2 linked regions of the Nothobranchius furzeri genome follow. Each later gene encodes a partner of the first gene's protein in a complex. Links are inferred from orthologs where the notes say so. Each region holds a gene or a part of one and is shown in the gene's direction. Other genes may lie near its edges.

What was found.
Region 2: the proteins of prim2 (region 1) and prim1 are in contact, whole or in part, in a crystal structure (PDB 5EXR), measured with the Homo sapiens proteins. The link is inferred for Nothobranchius furzeri from reciprocal best matches to the Homo sapiens genes PRIM2 and PRIM1. Residues at the interface, in NP_000938.2 of Homo sapiens: Glu165, Ala168, Ser169, Pro171, Ser172, Phe188, Ala189, Leu192, Phe195, Arg196, Gly197, Arg198, Val200, Tyr201, Leu202, Glu203, Asp204, Gly205, Phe206; in NP_000937.1 of Homo sapiens: Lys147, Glu148, Asp149, Phe150, Gly151, Phe152, Ala180, Val181, Gly184, Ile185, Glu187, Tyr188, Ser190, Leu191, Lys193, Lys207, Ile208, His209, Pro210, Ile212, Arg213.

Annotation. Positions count from the first base shown.
Region 1 is NC_091752.1:19,621,869-19,631,886, reverse strand, and holds the start of prim2 (DNA primase large subunit), read left to right. Parts: upstream 1-3,768; 5' UTR 3,769-3,885; intron 3,886-4,571; 5' UTR 4,572-4,579; coding exon 4,580-4,724; intron 4,725-5,692; coding exon 5,693-5,805; intron 5,806-7,394; coding exon 7,395-7,489; intron 7,490-7,571; coding exon 7,572-7,692; intron 7,693-8,616; coding exon 8,617-8,712; intron 8,713-10,018. UniProt on the Homo sapiens protein: Regulatory subunit of the DNA primase complex and component of the DNA polymerase alpha complex (also known as the alpha DNA polymerase-primase complex) which play an essential role in the initiation of DNA synthesis.
Region 2 is NC_091755.1:56,469,647-56,479,743, forward strand, and holds the start of prim1 (DNA primase small subunit), read left to right. Parts: upstream 1-3,976; 5' UTR 3,977-4,099; coding exon 4,100-4,208; intron 4,209-4,766; coding exon 4,767-4,924; intron 4,925-4,998; coding exon 4,999-5,105; intron 5,106-5,186; coding exon 5,187-5,260; intron 5,261-5,336; coding exon 5,337-5,473; intron 5,474-6,440; coding exon 6,441-6,499; intron 6,500-6,574; coding exon 6,575-6,684; intron 6,685-6,796; coding exon 6,797-6,888; intron 6,889-7,982; coding exon 7,983-8,115; intron 8,116-8,192; coding exon 8,193-8,262; intron 8,263-8,333; coding exon 8,334-8,446; intron 8,447-9,932; coding exon 9,933-10,031; intron 10,032-10,097. Other genes in the region: uncharacterized protein, read left to right, coding at 252-371. UniProt on the Homo sapiens protein: Catalytic subunit of the DNA primase complex and component of the DNA polymerase alpha complex (also known as the alpha DNA polymerase-primase complex - primosome/replisome) which play an essential role in the initiation of DNA synthesis.

The DNA of each region.
Region 1 (10,018 bases):
GGAATACTTTCTCAAACGTGTAAAACTATAACACTATACGTACACAAACGCATTGCCCTCATTCTGTAAGCTAACGCTCCAGCTTTATGCGCTGGGGGGGAGACTGGCTAACTGGGAAACCGCTAGCTCGCCTCGCTAACGCTTGTTGCTAAGCAGCGAAACCACGGCAAGACTGTATGGCAGACCGTTGTAGTATAAAATCAAATCACATTTATTTCCTCCCTTTCAGATTTTACATAGCCATTTAAGCAAATTTACAATGTTATTCGTCAAGTTAAAGTCTTTTTACAGTCTATGTTTTTAGGGGATGTAAGTGAAAATGAAGTTTTGACGATAGTAGGGAAAAGTAAAAATAAAACTTCCACAGACTGTGACGGGATTGACATGATGATTGTAAAGAAAACTGTTGTTTATGTTGTTAAACCATTCACTTATATCTGTAATTTGTCTGTTCAGAGCGGTACATTTCCAGAAAAAATGAAAACTGCAAAAGTAATTCCAATATTTAAAAACGGTGATGGACATAGATTTGATAATTATAGACCAATCTCAGTGCTTTCCCGGTTTTCTAAAATGCTTGAGAAATGGTTTGTCCAGAAACTAGATAACTTTATTGAGAAGAAAACCTCCTTAGTGAGAGTCAGTATGGGTTTCGATCACATAAATCTACATCCCTGGCTTTATTGGAATTAAATGAAGAACTTGCATCAGCAATAGAAAAAACAATATACAGTGGGTTTGTTTATTGATTTAAAAAAGGCATACGACACAATAGATCATAGTATTTTACTCTCCAAGCTGAGGGATTATAGCCTAGTGAACTAGACCAAATTCTTGCTTTGCAAAGTTTGTAAATAATACATTTATTTAGTCTGGCTTGCCAGGCTTGAGGGATTATGGGATACGTGGAATCACCCATGACTGGTTAAGTAGTTATTTGACCAATAGAAATCAATTTGTACAGTTAGATGATGAAATTTAAGATTCACTAGAAATTACACACAGTGTCCCACAGGGTTCAGTGTTGGGCCCTAAGCTTTTTATTCTATACATAAATGACATTTGTGATGTGTCCAAAGTATTACAGTTCATATTGTTTGCTGATGACACGAATATATTTTGTTCTGGAAATGATTTAGAAATTATTATTCAAAATATGGTTTGTGAGATGTCTAAACTTATGAAGTGGTTTAATGACAATAAATTATTTCTCAATTGGAATAAAACAAAATTCATGGTTTTTGGTAACAGAAAAACAAATGATTTAGTTATGTTGTCTATTGATGTTTTTTTTAATTGATAGAGTAAATGAAGTCAGATTCTTAGGGGTTCTCTTGGACCATAAACTTACTTGGAAATCCCATATAAAATATATAAAACAAAAAATATCTAAAAGTATTGGAATTTTAAACTAAGTCGAAAGTATTCTAGAAATTTCAACGCTTCAGACATTATATTATTCATTTATCTTACAATATTTAACTTACTGTATTGAGGTTTGGGGCAAATTATACATATAAAACAAACACTAATCCTTTGTTTGTGTTACAGAAGAAAGTTTTGCGAATTCTATATAAAGCAAATCCGAGAGAACATACTAACAAATATTTAGTTCTATCTAAAATTATGAAATTTAAGGACCTAGTTAACTTGAAAATTTTACTAATTATGTTTAAGGCTAGAAATAATTTACTGCCAACTATTCTACAAAGGTTCTTTGTTTTGATCCCAAAAAATGATAAGAGTAGAAAGAAACCAGAGTTTAAAAGGATATTTGTTCGTACTACATTAAAGCAAATGTGTATTTCAATATATGGTGTGAAATTATGGAATAACCTGGATGATGAATTAAAAAAATGTACAACTACTGATCAATTAAAAAAATGTAGAAAGATAAAATGCTAAAATCGTATGATTTGGTGAGTTGAGGATGGAGGATTAATGTTTTAGTATTGATATTATTTGTGGAAGAAAGAGAGCGGTTTATTTTTTGTGCATAAGGCCATTTTGTACTTTTTGTAATTTATCTTGTCTTAGTTAAAGGGGGTAGGTCATATAAGATTTTTTCTTCGTCCTCCCCCTATTTCATTCGAATTATTGTATTCAATAGAATGCTTGTATTCTGGTTGGCAATTGTATTCTGATTTGAGGTTTGTATATTTAAATTTTGAGTGAAATAAAATTATTGAATTGCATTGAATTGAAAGTACAAAAATATCTACAATCACAATCCCACCAATGAATATTATATTTTTGGTCATTCACATTAGATGTATTCATTAGGAAAACAAAATATTAAAATTAATATTAATATTTTTACAGTCTGGCGAATTAAATCAGTATAGTTAAGAGATGTTCCATTTTGGTAGAAATATGTAAAGAAGAGCTAAGTGTCTCAAAAACATATATAATAATAATAACAACAACAATAATAATAATAGCAATAATTCTATTTTCAATTCTATTTCAATTCAAGTTTATTTATATAGCGCTGTGTAACCCAGTTATACCTTAAGAGTTATCTCAAGCCACTTCACATAGTAATCATTCCAATACAGGTCAGTTCATTAAACCAATCGGAATTTTTTTTTCCTTTTTAAGGAACCCAGCAGATTGCGTCAAGTCATTGACTAGTGTCAGTGACTTTACAACAATCCTCATACTAAGCAAGCATTTAGTGACAGTGGAGAGGAAAAATCCCTTTTAACAGGAAGAAACCTACAGAGTATTCTGGCTTAGTATAAGCAGCCGTCCACCACGACTCACTGGGGGTCGAGAAGACAGAGCAGACACACGCATACACCAACACCAGCCCACCCACACACACATCCACACACACAACATTTATACCAAGTAATGTTTCTATGGTTACATCGTGATTTCTTAGTAAATATTCTATTTGGTGGAAGATGAACTTTATTGTATTTATCCTAGTGGATCTATAATTAAATGGGTAAAGTAGTAGTAGCACATTCAATGTCAAAGAAAGTAAAATGTTATTATCAGGAGAAGGAGAATGTTTAAATGGTTAGCAACATTATTCAAGCCCCCACCATGCAGCTCAGCAGAACATCATTGTAGCTTCTTCTGGGGAGAAAACACTTATAGAAAAAATAAAGTTATCAGCTGAAATAGCAGGAAATAATACAGTTAATAACAAGAACAACAACAATAATTCTACTACTACTACTACTACTACTACTACTACTACTACTACTACTGCCACTACTACTACTACTACTACTACTACTAATAATAATAATAATAATAATAATAATAATGTTGAACTAGTTAATACTATTCATAGACTTTATACAACCTAACATGAAGTTTTACGGGTTTTAAAATTTAATTTCTAAACGTATTGTCATTTGTTCTAAAAAGAAAGTTTTGAGATAGCAAAGAAAAATGTTTATATGTATCTGTGTTTACAGTCACGACCTATGAAGTAAAATCTCTATCAGAAATGTCCAATAATCAGAATGTCCTTAAACTAACTAAAAGCACTTCAGAACTTATTTTTACTGTTATTTATTTTTCAAGTGTGCGTTTGTTATGCATTAAAGGTGTTTCTGTGTAACCCAGTTATACCTTAAAACGTATCAGTGCAAATACGATCACTTTTTTTTTTAGCCAAAACGTTTGCTAACACTTTTGGATTTAACATTTCAACGTGAAATTGCCCATTACATTTCGTTTTTTCTTGTATTTCACGATGAAATGCCACAGACGGGCAACGTAAAAAACTAAACGAGCGCTCACCGCTCTACGTAAGCGTTCCACTTCCTGTGTTGGGCGTATCGTCATTCTTTACCCGCGTTTGTTAAACAAGCTCTCGTTGTTTGGCGGGATTTGTGTCAGTAAGAGCAGCTCCATATTTTATCGGTAAAGTTACATTGATTATGAAGTTTAAACGTTATTCCGATAGCTCAAGTTTAGCTAGCTCGTTTCTGTCTCAGTGTTAGCGAGCACCGTGTCAACGTAGACGTTTCTACACTTGAAAGTCGGTTTGTTTTGGTCTAAGGAGTTTTAGTGTCTCCTCATTGGTCTATAAACCGCTAGTTTTTTGCGGTTTGTGCACACTTTGTTTAAATTAGCCGTCATAGTTTAGTTAAGTGTTTGCGTAGATACTTTTAGCATCTTAAAACCGCTGTCAGGTTAAAAGGCGAGTGTTGATGACGTAGTCATTCTGAGCTGCTGAGTTTTACCCTAAAAATAGTTCTTGCGTTCTGTTTTCATTCTTTATAATTTATTAAAAATAAAAACGGGGCAGTAATCTTCTACAATATCTACTAAAACTTGTAATAATGCAGCGAGGGAGCTGTATTTGGTGCCCCAATCAATCTCTACATACATTATTATTTTTCATGAAGCAGCTCCTTTACAGATTAGGTATAACCTGGATTGGTGTTAAATTTAGCAAGAATAAAAAACAATTATTTGCCTATGCTTCCCTCCTGTGTTGTTACTGCGTTCATATACGGAACCAATGAACATGCAGTTACACCTGATCTGAATGAAACATGATCTGTTAACTTTTATAGTTATGGTATTTATTTTTCCTAATCCAGCAAGCACCATGCTGTTTTCTGGGAGAAGAAAGAAGTTCGGGACAAGCATCCAGACTGAGCTCTACGTGCAGCCGCTGCAATTCTACGGGCAGCCCCCTCTGGAAAACATCTCTCTCTCTGAATTTGAGACCTTTGCTGTGGACAGACTGAAATGTAAGACCATTCAGTGTTCGTGAACAAAATCTAGATTTATTTAAATTGTTTAGCTATTTTTTTTGCAGGTTTACTTTTTATTATATCAAGATGCATTTTATTTTAAGAGCTTGGTAACAATGTTGCCTAGAGGTGCTGAAAAAAATCGATTCAAGTTTGAATCGGGATTCTTATTTATAAAGATTCAGAATCGATTCACAAAGGTTCCGAATCGATTCCAAGAACTCAAATGTTTGGCACGTTACAGGTTTAAGATGCACTTTTGTCTGTTTTTTTTTAATCTTTGTTAGGAGAGTCAGTACTCCGTTTACTTTTGTGGTCCCATAAATTGAGATGATTTATGTTTGAATCTGCTGATAAGTGGGGACTAGAATGTAATTTTTTCCATACTCGTTAATTTGAGGTATTCTCATATTTAGTTTCTAAGTTGATGAGTGAGTACTCAGGATTACTCATGTGTTTATTTGAAGTTATTGATAAATGAGAGAAAACATTTTCCTTTGTAATAAATCTGAGGCACTTATTTTTAACAGGTTGAGGACTCAAACGTTAAACTTGTTTCCACACGTACTTGAAAAGTATTTGACCGTAATACTTTCAAAGCTACTGTTAGGCAACTAAAGATTTGTTATATTATACAAGATAAGCAAAAATAAATGTTGCCTTTTGGTCAAAAGATTGCTTCTGTTTACAGTTTTAGAATCACTTTAGTTTACCTTGTAAATTTGCATTTTTTGAGCATGACCAGTTTAAAGTAAAATAAAAATGTCCCATAGCTTTAACTAACTTGTACAACAAAGTGGTTAATCCTAGAACTGACACTCTTTGTTAAAATTGATTGTGAATTGAGTTTAAATCAAGAATCTATTCTGAATCGAATCGACACCCAGAGAATCGGAATCGAATCAAATCGTGAGTTGCTCTAAGATTCACGTCCCTAATGTTGCCTTTTCTTGGTGCCACTGCAGTGTTGAAGACGGTTGAGAACCTGGGAGTGAGTTATGTGAAACAGTCAGAGCAGTACTCGAAGAAACTGGATTCTGAGCTGAAGACCTTGAACTTTCCCTACAGGTCTGAAGTTGTGAGTATTCTTCTGCTGTTTGATTATAAACTATTCTGATGTTAAGAGTTAAATTCGCACAGGGGTGTCAAACTCCAGTCCTCGAGGGCCGGCATCCTGAACCTTTTCGTTTTTTTCCCGTGTTCCATCACAGTTGATTAACTTATGCAGCAGCTCACCAAGCTCTCCAGAAGTCTGTTGTCATCTTCTGAGTGAAGTCAGATTTGTTGGAACAGGGAACACAATAAAACGTGGTAGTGTGGCCCTCGAGGACTGGAGTTTGGCATGGTATATTTCCATTGTCTGGTGTCAATCCTTGCTTTTATTTAGAGTTCAAAATGTACTAGTTCCCACAAATACTTAACATTTGAGTTCTATTATTGTTTGTTTTAATCTTGAGTATGAGGATATGCTGTGTAAACACAACCAATAACTGGTAACTCAAAATTGTTTAGTCTGGTTACTACTTTATTTCATGTTTTTGGTCTCTAAGTTATCCTTATTTTTTCCCTTTTAATATAAAACAGCAATTTTCTATTTTTATCTGTGGACTTAGAAAGCTAACATAGCTTGTAGACGTTTATGTTCAAGGTGCAGACTTAGTCAAGCCAATAGAATCACTTTTCTGTCTCTAACGTTTACACTGACTAGTTTAGGGCCTCGTTGTACTTAAAATACAGAAAGTACACCTAACAACAGTTGCCACCTTCATGTATTCAAGCCTGTAAGCTACATTAAAGGCCAAGTTAACCGAGAAACCACTTTTTACTTGTTATTTTTGAAGTACGATAGGTCACTCAGAGTTTAACATGCATGCTAAGTGTCCTGCATTAGCCACCTATAGAAAATACACGTGGAAATCCAGTGACAATTGCACATCACGCTGTCAAATTAGGTTTTATGGACTCACCCATCTTGACTCGCGACAGGGAAGGCTGATTTAGCGTCCAGGAGAGAGCAGAGTCTAAATGTTAACATTAGCTTCTCCTCAACATGGCAGAACTCCTTCCGGAGCGTGTCATTTGTGGAGATAAAACATCAAAGTAGCAAAGCAAACGGTGAGTCGGTGGAAGAGTCGCGTTGCTGTTAGCCAGTCATAGGTGGGATGTCCAACTCTTGATCCTGCCATTTTCTGCTCCCCTCTGCTCTGGCTTATTTCTACTTCCTGAAACAGGAGCTCCCGAGCTTTTTTACCACCACATCGACTCACAAGGCACTCATTTCTACTTGAGACCGCTGCAGCTGTGTTGGGGAAAAAAAACAAGTGAACTTGGTCTTTAAGTCCCACCGACTGTATTGGGCTAGGATTTATTAGAAATAAATACAATTTCTTATGTTTCTTTGTGACTTTATTATTTATGACTGGGCAGTTTGAAACCAGTACACACTTTAGGAATTAGATTGAGCTATTTGTTTTGTTTTAGATTGATTAATCCTCTAATTTTTTTAAAATCCACAAACTTTTCAGGTTTAGAAAATACTTTTGAGATTCTCAAGATGTGGAGAAATTATAAGATAAGCAACAGCCACATAAAAAGAAGAAATCATGTTGATCTAGTAGTACTGTTCTGAGACTTTTCACTACTATAAACATCTTTTTATTCTTTAAGGATGACAGAAAACTTCCAGGTGGACCAAGTGAGAGTGAGAAGCGAAGAAAGGACCATATCTCCCACTTCATTCTCAGATTGGCCTATTGTCAGACGTAAGTTTGTGGTTTTAATCATGTTGAGGAATCCTAATTAAACAAAAGAAAACAGACTTTTAAATTTACTCTGTCTTTAAAGGGAAGATCTGCGGCGATGGTTCATTCAGCAGGAGGTTGATCTTTTCCGCTATCGCTTTAATGGACTGCTTTCAAAACAAAAGCTTGAGTTTCTTCACAAGAATAATCTCCAGTATGACGCAGTAAGTCATTAAACCCTGGTTTTCTGCTCATTTAATTGAATTATTAATTGTCAAATGTTGATCAATTGTTTTGTGGGAGCTTAAATTAAATTTTGATCAACACATAAATGTATTTGGCAAAGGAAACAAACACTCAAGGTATTTTTAAATAATGTGATGGGTAATAATTATGAAGCAGAAAAATTAGTGTATGGATACTTAATTGTTTCTCCACTGGGTGGCGCTGTTTAGCCACATTAGAGCTTTTCAAACTAAAAGCTTAATCTCATTTCATTTTTAAATATTACTGTTTTTGTTCTTATTTAAAAGGAAAAGTGGTTCATATGTGATAGTTTTTAAATAAACAGTTATTTCTATTGACATGATTTTTATGCAACAGTTATTTCTATTGACATGATTTTTATGCTCTTCTGACATTTTATTATGTTATTAGGCAGGATTTGTTTCACTTTATAAAATATCTATGAACAAAAATACTGAAACTTTATAAAACGTCTATTAGCGTTTTGAACCGGTCATGGACGCAAATCATGTACTAGTCTCTAACTATTTGGTTTCGGCGAGCCCTCGCTGCTGATGGATTAACCCTTACATCGAGAGGAGCCAGTTGAGGTGGCTCGGGCATCTGGTCAGGATGCCTCCTGGACGCCTCTGGTGAGGTTTTCTGGGGACGTCCAACCGGGAAGGAGCCTAAAGGGAGACCCAGGACACGGTGGAGGGACTATGTCTCTCACCTGGCCAGGGAACACCTTGGGATTCCCCCGGAGGAGCTGGCCCAAGTGGCTGGGGAGAGAGAAGTCTGGGCCTCTCGACTTAGGCTACTGCCCCCGCGACCCGACTGCGGATAAGCGGATGAAAATGGATGGATGGGTTAGTCTTTGAAGCTCCTCGCTGAAAGTCATCAATAACTTTTTTTTTTTTCAGATTAGTCTCAAAGAGAAGAAGGAGTTAAAGGAGAAACTTGTCAGCTCCACTTACGCCATCAGTGGAATCACTGTAGAGGATCAGGACTTCTACAAAGTGAGTCACTCATTTCCTTCCACTGAGATGGATGCCACTCTGCTCACTACCATGATTCATGTTTTAATACACATTAAAAATCTAATGTTGGTACATTCTGTAGATTCAGTGCAGTGACTGTAAGATGCAAAACTGTGGCATGCAACCAATTCGCCAAATTGTACATATTGGTGTCCATTTGTAGATTGACGTGTCGGCGTCCCTCAGGCATTGGGGGTCTTAAACTACAGTAGTTGCATTTCCACTGTATGAGTTCCAGGAAATGGGCTGCGCAGTGGCGCAGTGGTTAGAGCTGTTGCCTTGCAGCAAGAAGGTCCTGGGTTCGCTTCCCAGCCTGGGATCTTTCTGCATGGAGTTTGCATGTTCTCGCTGTGCATGCGTGGGGTTCCTCTGGGTTCTCCGGCTTCCTCCCACAGTCCAAAAACATGACTGTTAGGTTAACTGGTCTGTCTAAATTGTCCTTAGGTGTGTGTGCATGATTGTTTGTCCTGTGTTGTTTGCACCCCCCACCCACACCTCCGACGGCCAACCGGGAGGTGTAGGACAGACAGAGCTGCGGAAAATAATCAAATAGTCAATGCATGAGATACAGGCATAAACGATTCTGCATCATAGAAGAGTACCATAATCAGTTATAGTGGAACGTAGTTTTGTTATTTTAACAGCGGCACCAGCGGAGCATCCAGATCTGTCAGAGAGGGTGTTCCCCACATTTACCGGGTAGGAAACTTTGTTCTGCCTTTATGTGGTTCTGCAGGGCTGAGCGCTAGAGTTGTAACCTGAGACCCAGCCCGACCAGTTCTGTTGGATTAGGGCCGTGAATTATGTTAATTGAGCGGGTTGTCGAGTGGCGCGCTCCGCTCGCTCAATCAGCGACAGAGAGAGAGGATCGGAGGACACTCCTCCAAACACGCATTATTATTTTCATAATTTCAATATTATTTCTCCTGGAAGCGCTCAGTCAGACCGAGTGCTTTGATGTCGGAGATCCGGTCTTGGGGAGGGAGCGGGGTGAGTGACGGCGGCTGCAGCGTGTTCACCTGTCTCTTTTGTTTAGGGACACGGAGAAGTTAAAAGGAGAGAGAAATAGAAGATGGATGTTCTTGTTCCACTTTATTCTTTTGTTCCATGATGATAAACTGATGTTAAATTCAGCTTAAAGAGAAACTGGGAGGAAGCTTTGGTTCATTTTAAGTTACAGGAGGTCTTGTCTCCTATCTGCTCCTCCAGAGACAGCATGGACATGAGGGTCACATGGTGAGGGTCCCACAGGACAGGTTAGTGCAGTCACACAGCCGAGCTGGAG
Region 2 (10,097 bases), on another chromosome or scaffold:
GGCAGAAATGATGAAGGTGCTGGTTAAACCTTTGTCTCAGAATGTGCGGCTGTCAGTTTGTTTGAATGCTAACATGAAGGGACCTCAGAATAAAAGCTCTGGAAGGTTCTTTTCTTATATTTATATCATAGTTCTTTATTGTGTTTACACTGTCTTCTTTAGTGGAGTTTATAAACGTACCAGATGACTAAACAGCAGATACGAGGGTTTGACTCCCACCCACCCCTAAAGCTGCTCTTTTGCTTCTGTAGATGGAGCTGATGCAGCAGAGTCAGGTGAAGGCTGAAATCCAGTCCCTGGCCTCCATAGCTCCTGACTTCCTCACCAACATCTACCTCCCTAATAAGCTCCGCTATGGAGGCTGGGTGTGAAGATGCTGCGCCCTGGTGGAAGAGCTAGAGAAGGTCTGACTCGGGTTCTACTTCTGCATGGATCTGCTGAGGCTGAAAATGATTATCGGTGGTTGTGTGGATTCTTGATCTGTGTCCACTTTTCCATTATCACAATAAGAGCTTTGTCAGGATATTTAAAGTTTGCTTCCTCTTCCGGGGTCACTGGTGAACACATTTTGATTAATCTGGAGACTATTAAATAAATAAGGAGAGGGATTTATAAGCGAGGGCTTCATCCCACTCCCCTTGAACATGTTTCTCATTCATACCATTTTTTCTTTTTCTTTACTTCTCATAGCTTGCTTTACTTTATCAGAATTGATATTCAGAGTTGGGACCAGGTGAAGAATAAAAATAAACCCACTTTAGTTTGTTTTTTGACCCGTGAAAACAGGTTTAGTCTGAGGAGTTTTGGGTTAATCTACGTTTAAGTAACTACATGAACATCAGGCTAGTGGTTGTTTTACTGGGGTTAAATGTTAAATGTGGGAGGAGTTTTTCACCATCTAATTGAAAAGGAAATAACCATCATTTGCAGACACGAAAACCATCTGTCTGGCCTCCAAATCCAGAAAGTTCTGCTCCGTTCTTGTTTTCGTACAAGAAGACAAAACATTCTCACCCAAGGCCTCATGCAGACTCCTGCATTTTCACTCTGAGGAAGTCATCCTGAATTATAAATAACTTTACAGCTCATAAGTTGGAATAATCATATGTGTTGAAGGAACAAGATGTTTAAGTCAAATGTTTGTGTTTATAAAATTTAAGTTCAACGTTTTGGATACGTACTGTTATTTTAATAAAAACGAATAAAGGCGCAGTGCAGCACATTGACACAGACTAAATTCAATCAGAGTGTAATGTCATGATTATAGGGTTGGGCATCGAGCATTGAGCATCGATTGGAACCGGTTCCAGCGAGGCGCGTTGCAAGATTTTCAAAAGTGTGGGGGATGTTGTCTGTGCCTAAAATAAGTTCATGTTATTCATCTTGTTAGTTTAATTTCCGTAATAGCGGAGCAGGTGCAAATTTTAGACGCGTCACGCATGTCTCCGTTTTAAACATGTTTAAACTGTTCAGAATACAAATCCAGGCTCTGTTTCGTTAAACTGGTGTAACTAAAGTTTGTACTGAATGAAACTTTACACTAAACCATGTTGATAAGAAAAGGATCCGATTAAATCGTTTCCCCCTCATTTACAGTCAGGAAGTACAGCGCAGTGCTCACGGCTCTGGGTTTAATCAAGTTTAATTGTTTCTCTTTGCAACAATCTTCACAAGAAGGCAAAACAGTTAAATGGCAGGGTTATAGATATTTCCATTTGACTGTTTATTTTGACAGATAAACTCAAGGATGTTGGTTGTTTTGAAAGAATTACCCCGATGCACACTGATGAGCTGACATTTTAATCGTTACACACATCGCGGAGGTAACTAAATCCATCAAGAAAAGATTCCCATCAGAACATCAGAGCTTTATACTGGACACTGTGCTCAGCGCGGATCGGAGCGCACACGGTGGACAGTGAGCTGAAGATCTGTAGAGGGGTTCGCAGCGCAGAACCACAGCGATGCGGTAAGATTTCCTCCCACTGAAACGGTCTGGAAACCCGGTCTCTCTGAGGGATGTGTCACTTGGAAAAATGTTCACTGATTATGAAACTTTGGCTGAATAGTGCTTGTTCCCGTCTCTAATATGGAGATGCACGACACATCCAGTCTGAGGCAGAATAGCCTCTTCAGCTCAGAAAGCACCTGTAGAGACATTTGATCACGCACAAAGTTTATGTGGAGCAGAAGCGGTCGGGCCACGGCAGGTGAAATGTTCCTAGCCTACATGAAGTGTAACGGTTTAATTGTAACATTAATATGTTACTGGACACACTGGTCTGGTTGGTTAGACCAGTGTTTGAAGTGGAAAACACACACACGCACGCACACACACCAATTAAATAACGCTGATAGCATGGACTAGAAGACAGGTGATGGTATTTAAATGATGATCAGGCTGCTGTAAAATGTAATCTCTATCCACATCAGACTTATCCTCTATTCTTTCTCTATTTGCTCTGCTGTCTGGGCTGACCTACCTGATGGTGCGTGCGGCGCATCTAGCGGCTGTGATGCACATTTTACGCATTTGGAGAGGTGGGTTGGATGCTTTGCTTTACTGGCAGATGGATTTTTTTTTTTCAAAAATGTCGGAGATTTTGCCCCATGAATAACCGTTAAAACCACCGGTGTGCATGTACCCTTATGAAAGAGTCCTACGTTGAGAGGTAAATATTAGAAGTGCAGGTAATGCATTCTGGTGCCTATAAATGAAAAATGAATGAAACATATCTATATAAAAAGGCTGCGCAGCGGCACAGTCGTTAGAGCTTTTGCCTTGCAGCAAGAAGGTCCTGGGTTCGCTTCCCGGCCTGGGAACTTTCTGCATGGAGTTGGCATGTTCTCCCTGTGCATGCATGGGTTCTCTTCAGGTACTCCAGCTTCCTCCCACAGTTCAAAAACACGACTGTTAGGTTGATTGGTCTGTCTAAATTGTCCCTAGGTGTGTGTGTGTGTGTGTGTGTGTGTGTGTGTGTGTGTGTGTGTGTGTGTGTGTGTGTGTGTGTGTGTGTGTGTGTGTGATTGTTTGTCTTGTGTGTCTCTGTGTTGCCCTGCGATGGACTGGCTCTCTGTCAAGGATATACCCCGCCTGATTGCCCGTTGACCGCTGGAGATAGGCACCAGCCCCCACCCCCCCATTCGCAACCCTGCATGGACAAGCAGGTTCAGAAAATGGATGGATGGATCTATATAAAAATAACAAAAATACAGAGAACAAATAGATTAAACATACTCAACAATCAACTTCTTGTATAATTCTATTTAACCCAGCTCATCAACATAATGATCCAGTAGATGTTTTTTGTAGCTCTTGATTTACCTTTACACATTTTTTGCAGCATGGATAGTGATTGTAGATTACTCAGGTATGTGTTTCCCCAAACTTCCACACAGTAATTCAAGTATGGCATTACCAGTGATGAAAACAGATTTATCCTAAAGATATAATTTCGTATGTCACAAATTTGACTCAAAAAGTTTATTTTGAAATCACAGGTTGGTGCGGTTTCATAGTTCGCACCATTTAATTCCTGGTGGTTTTAGCCGCGCTTCCATGCGGGCGGAGTCTAGTAGCAATAAATACCTCGAATGTTAAAAATAGAAAAGGCCACATTGGTCAAACATTCATGCAAGCTATTTGAGATGTTAATATTGTTTTATATTGCATCTGTTTCTATTAGCGAAGTTTCCCCTCTCAGTTGATCACAAATACAACTTCCTCCCCGCTCGTTTTGACTTCCGCCCGGCGAATCAAAAGAAGCAAACCCTACCATCGACATAAATATACTGGACATCTCCATTCCAAAGTCAACCCAGGGCCAAAAACTTAACGCTTTATAGTCTTACTTTATTCACAGAAAACCTTGAGTTCCATTCAAGTTGAACTCTGTAATGTTATTTTAGTTTAGGAAAATAAATAAAACGTTTTCATGGTACTTCCTGTTATTTGTGACGTAGTTGTCGCAGTTGTTTGTCATCACTGTTTCTTTCGAGTTTTCCCGCGCTGTCCTTAGCTAACCAAGCTGTCAGCTTGACTGAAGAGCAGCAGTAACATATACCTAGCTGCACATTAGCTTGGCTTTACTACATTATAATGCCATCTTCAGACTACGACTCCGCTTGTCTGCCGGACTTATTACCGCTGTACTACCGACGACTGTTCCCCTTCTACCAGTATTACCGCTGGCTTACCTACGGAGGAGGTAACTTCACAAACAGACCAGAACCACGAGCAAGCGTCAGACCGGGCTGTTAGCTTGTCTTCTGTGATTTAACTAGCTATATATGTAATTAGGCTAGCTAGCCTTCTATGCTGAACTTCAGGGTTTGTGGATTTTACGTTTGCTTCCCCCTGTGTAACATTTGAGATGTATTTACAACTGTTACAGAGCTTTTCAGAGCGTTTGACTTATGTTACGTTTAAACAAGGATTCACTTTAGTAAGACAGCTGCTAATTTATTTAAGGAAAGCAGCTTGTTCCCAGTATTCAAGAGTTGATGAAGACCTGAAAAAAACAACAATAAAGCCTGGGTAGTTAAACGTCACCGTATTTTATTGCACTGATAAATTCAGATAAGATTAAGTAAAATTTTTCTGGAAGACGTTGATTTTATTAGTAATGAAACTTTACAGCGATTATTTTATATGTGATATTTAAACAAAAGTTTGTCACTCATTAGAAAAGAGACAGATTTTGCTTGATTGCCTTTATGAAATAAACACATACAGTGTTTATTTGTCCATTTTCCCACATTCTCAGTGCAGAAGAACTACTTCCAAAACCGAGAGTTCTGCTTCACGCTCAAAGATGACATCTACGTGCGCTACCAGTCTTTCAGCACGCTGAACGAGCTGGAGAAGGAAATGCAGAAGATGAACCCTTATAAGATTGATATTGGAGCAGTGTACAGTCACAGGGTAAGACTTTATTCTGGATCAAATCATGTTTACTATCGTGTAAGTGTAGTAAAGTCACTGTTTGTCATCAACAGCCTAATCAACACAACACGGTGAAGTCCGGCAGCTTCCAAGCTCTAGAGAAGGAACTTGTGTTTGATATTGATATGACAGATTATGATGATGTCCGAAGCTGCTGCAGGTGATTATTTCTAGTTCTGAGCCTGTTCAGAGTGTTCTGGAGGACAATCTACCAAAATGACCTTTTCAAACTTCGATCCAGTGCTGCAGACATTTGCACCAAGTGCTGGACGCTGATGACCATTGCTATCCGCATCTTGGACAGAGCGCTCAGAGGTGTGTCCCTGGTCTTATGTCAGGCATGTGTTTATTTTGAATCAAATCAGATTGACATTTTTTATGTTTCTCCCAGAGGACTTTGGCTTTCAGCACCTGCTGTGGGTTTATTCTGGCAGAAGGGGAGTTCATTGTTGGGTGTGTGATGAAGCTGCCCGGAAGCTCTCTGCTGCAGCACGCTCTGCTGTGGCTGAATATCTCAGCCTGATCAAGGTAGCAATGGTTTTACCGGTATTAGGTGATTTTAAAGCAAAACTCCAAGATTATTTAAGTCTTTTAAGCAGTCCTAGAATTTAAAACCACATTTATCTGGTTGTTGTTGTTGGATAAAGGCAGCTTGGGGGTGTCTAGTGTAGCATACCAAAATGTCTGTGCTGTTGCTGACCTGCTTTCCTATGTAAATTAATAATGCTGTAACGGCCACAGAGAAATGGTTCGTTTGGAGAAAAGCTGGTTTAACACGTCATTAGCACGACACACACCCTAAAATCTGCAGGTCCCAACCTAATCATTGGTCATGATTAGGGGTGTGATGGTTCACGGGGCGGTGTTGAACCGTTTCAGTTTGGTCCACTTGCGTATTGTTTTGGTTTAACAAAGAAGAATGTTGGAGCACCAATCACATTCCAGGATATAATGGGAGTATCCAGATTGTGAATGAATGAATGCTAGATTAATCCATAGCCTGCAATCTGGTCTAACAGAGTACAGCCACACACACACACACACACACACACAGACAGATAGGCAGATCGATCCACATCTTGCAGTCCTTGTTCTCCTGCTTGTTTATCTGCAAAACCTGCTCCTCAACCCATTTGAATCTCTCTTTGGAAAACACTCACTTCTTTACTCGTTTGTCTGCACTGATAGTAACACACACACACACACTCACACACAGGTCACAGACTTACTTGCTTCAAGAAATAAAGCTATTGGGGTGCGTTGGTCAATTTTTCTGGGTTCCTGAGCCCCAACAAAGTTTCATGGGATATATTAAGGCTCAAATAATAGTTTCCAATCGTTAAAAAAATTACTTTTATCTAGAACCCCTTTAAAGTTCAAATTCAAAGCCACTTAACAGCTGCTCCCATAACTAAAAGCTGCTTATTTATTGGTTTCTGACTAACATACAGTACAGTTGTATGTCCAGATGTGATTTCTAAATGTAACCTTTTAGGGTGGTGAAGATACTGTGAAGAAAGTAGTGCTGACAGATCCAATTCACCCCTTTATCAGGTAAATATACGTTTGACTGTTGTTTTTGTCATTGCTGCTTCTGTTTGTGGCTTCAGCTGTGTCTAATCCCACCAGAGAGTCTTTGGCAGTGGTGGAGCACTTCTTCCCTCAATACGCGCTGCAGGATCAGGACATACTGGCCCGCAAAGAGTCTGTAGACAAAGTCCTGGCTCTAGTTCCTGATGATATCCTTTCTCTAACGTGCTTGCTCAGTAATTTCCTGAATATGAAAACCAGCTGAATTGATATGATTTTTAAAAAGCAGTGATAATTATGAGGCCTTAATTTGTTCTGTACATGTAAAAAAAGAGTTACAGCAGGACTTCCAGAATGAGAAGAAATCAGATGTTCGTTGGAAACTGATCAAAGACCAAGCCCGAAAGAAACAGGTTGGTCTTCGTGGTTGTTCTAGTAAATAAAATTCTGTGTATTTATATAGCACCAGGTCACGCTGAGTCCTCTCATTGCACTTCACAAAGTTAACCGTTGAGTTCAGTTCATTATGCCAGTTAGTGAAGTTTCCTACAAAAGGAAGTCCTTTCAGAAATGCAACAAAAACTTAATAATGTTCCTGATCATTTTTTGTTTGTTTTTATATTTAAAAAAACAACAACTGTTGTTTGTAGTAGTCGGTTCAGATGAATGCTTCTCAAATTGTGCTGCATCCACAGCGTGCCAGTGTCAGCAGGTTCAGGCTTGCTGGCAGCCTTACATTCAGCAAGTGCAAGGCTGCAAAATCCCTTTTCTTCCTAATGTAAATATTTGTTTAAATATGTCTGAAGTCAAAGTTTTGATAAATTAAATGTAGTTTTCATTGAATTTTTGAAAGTGTATTTTATGGGAACTAGTTTTGTAAACCATATGAAATTTAAAAAGTAATATTCATAATTTTACCGATTAGTGAGCATTAAAGGGATACTTTGCAACTTTTTCATTTTTTAAATAATTTTCTTGAGTGGGTATGTGCTAAAATGACCCTTTACAGCTGGACTATTCAATTCCGTGCCTCGAGGGCCGGTATCCGGCACGTTTTAGTGGTTTCTCTGCTCCAACACATTTAGTTCAGCTCATCAGGCTCTGCAGAAACCTGTTAATTACCTGGCGATTGAAATCACGTGTTGAAGAAGAGTTAAAACTAAAATGTGCTGATACCGGCCCTCGAGGCACGGAATTGAATACAACTGCTTTACAGAGTTGGTGAAAAATCACTCAGACCCCTTGCTATTTCAGAGTTGCCGGCCAGTCTGGTCCTGGTTAGTCTCAAAGCAGCACATTTCCTGCATGTTTTAGATCGCTAACACAGCTGATTTGTTTGATTTAGGCATGAATTTCTCCTGTAGAAACTAAGGAAGGAGACCTTTCAGCGGTTAGATTAAGATGTTAAAAAGACAAAGGTGATTTTGCTTTGACTGACAGAACACCAGATGGTGGTGAAAGCCAGCAAAACTGCTTAGTATTAATTTAACAGTCTTGCTCCTCCTAGTCTACAGCTAAAAAGGGCCAACACTTTGACAAAGAGATCATGCTGCAGTACTGCTACCCTCGGCTTGATGTGAACGTCAGTAAAGGTGTGAGCCACTTACTGAAGAGCCCCTTTAGTGTTCATCCCAAAACAGGTGAGTTGGGTCTGAAAACACACAGTGACCTGTTTTCTCTACCAGCTGTTAGTAAAACCAGCTCTGCTCCTGAATAGGACGTGTCTCAGTTCCCATCGACTTGAGGGAGTTGGACAGCTTTGATCCTTTCGCTGTTCCCACCATCAGGTCAGTCGTCTCTGTGCTGTTTTGTGACCAGGCTGCAACCCACAGAAACTGATTTTATTTGATTTTTTAAGTCTGATCTGTGAGGAGTTGGATCGACCCAAAACTGGGGAGGAAGAAGAAAAAGTGGAGGATGCCACAGAGAAGGAAGATGAGAGAGACGCCTCAGAGAAGCGGAGGATCAGAGGTGCCGTAAAAACACCAAAAATCTAACTTTCCCCTCACATTTATTCAAAGATCTTTCATCATTAACAGGACATAATTGTGAAGATATCTTTGCTGATCATCTGGTTAGGAGATCTCCTTTCCCCCCAACTAGTTTCAGATTAAGAGTTTTATTAATTCATCTTAGATCTAGGAATTGAGAAACTTTGCACTACTCCTAGATTAAACGGATTGTCAACATCTTCAGATTTTCAGGTGATTTTGACATCCAATTTTCTTAAAGAGTAAATTGCAGGTTAATTTATTTTTTAATTCATATAAAATGCTGTCCAAAAACACTATTTGAAATGCTTATTGTGGATATTTCATTTTAAAATACATAACAGCAGTTTTCTAGTAAAAAGTGGCCTTTCTCAGCAAAGCTTCTAAAAAAAGCTCTTTTTTCTAAATCTGAACCTCTGACGTAACCAAAGGAGTTAGAGGCTCGGTGCTGCCTCAGCTCTGTGTGAGAGTGGGTAGTTTCTGGGTAGAGAGGTCATGTTATCCAGCCAGTGTGTGTGTTTGCTAGATCTGGATTGTGTTCATTTTGATAAACTATAGTTTGTGAAGGCTGTACCAACTCCAGCCTGTCTGGACATCAAGTCCACGGGTTTCCAGACAAGAGAAACAATGCCTCTATCTCCATGCCTGAGGGTGTTTTGTGCAGCTGAAAAGACAGACTTCTGTAGCCCACATCGTTCGGTACCGGGAGGTCCGCACTGGGCTCTAGAGACCCTTGGCAGGGTTTAAAAAATTAAATGTGGATATCTGGAGGTTGGATCACCGTCAGAACCAGGTTAGAACTGACCACCAGAAGAGACGCGCGGCTCAGCGGGCCAGCTGGTTTCTGGGTCGGAACCACATCAGAACTGCCGCCACAGGAAAGGATCATGTGCAGCTTTTAAAAATACCAGCTCGACTGGCTCGCTGGTGTCTGGGTCAGATCCAGCTACTATTTTAATTGTCTGGTACATTATAGTTATCTGTACAATGTTGTGAAATTAGCACACGAGTTTAAGCTAGCATCGTTAAGCTGCTCCCCCGCTGTTGTCACATCGCTGCTCAATCTCTCTGCTTTGGCTGATTGGTTCTCCCTCTGGTTTGTCTCTGCTCTCTGGGGCATGCAGCAAACTCATAACCTTATGGTTTTGGTCCATCAGAAGTATGATTATAAACATTTATAGTTTCCTCTGTGTCAGAACCGGCATTAGAATCCATATTTTTCTCTGGATGAAGCTAACAAATCTCCCTCAGCTGACATCACTTGGTTTGGCAAAAAAAAAATAAAAATCTCACAAAAATTACTCTAAAAGCCTAAATTATTTATGTATGTGTAAATAAATGTTTAAAATGAGTTTCTATTATGTTTCTTTAAACATTGGTTCATGGGAGTCTCTAACCTGCAAGTTGCTCTTTAAGTTAAATGTGAGTGTGGTGCAGCAGGATAACTTGTCTGTTTTTGCTCCCAGATTACAAAAGAACCAGTTTGGCAAAGTATGTGAAGAACTTTGATCAGTTTCTAGAGGGGTTGGCTCGCTCATGGAAAGGAGAACTTCTCAGAAAGAGTGGTAAGAACTAGCTGTGAGAGATGAAACAAATGTCTTGAGCCTTTTATACTTTATTCTGTTTGGTTT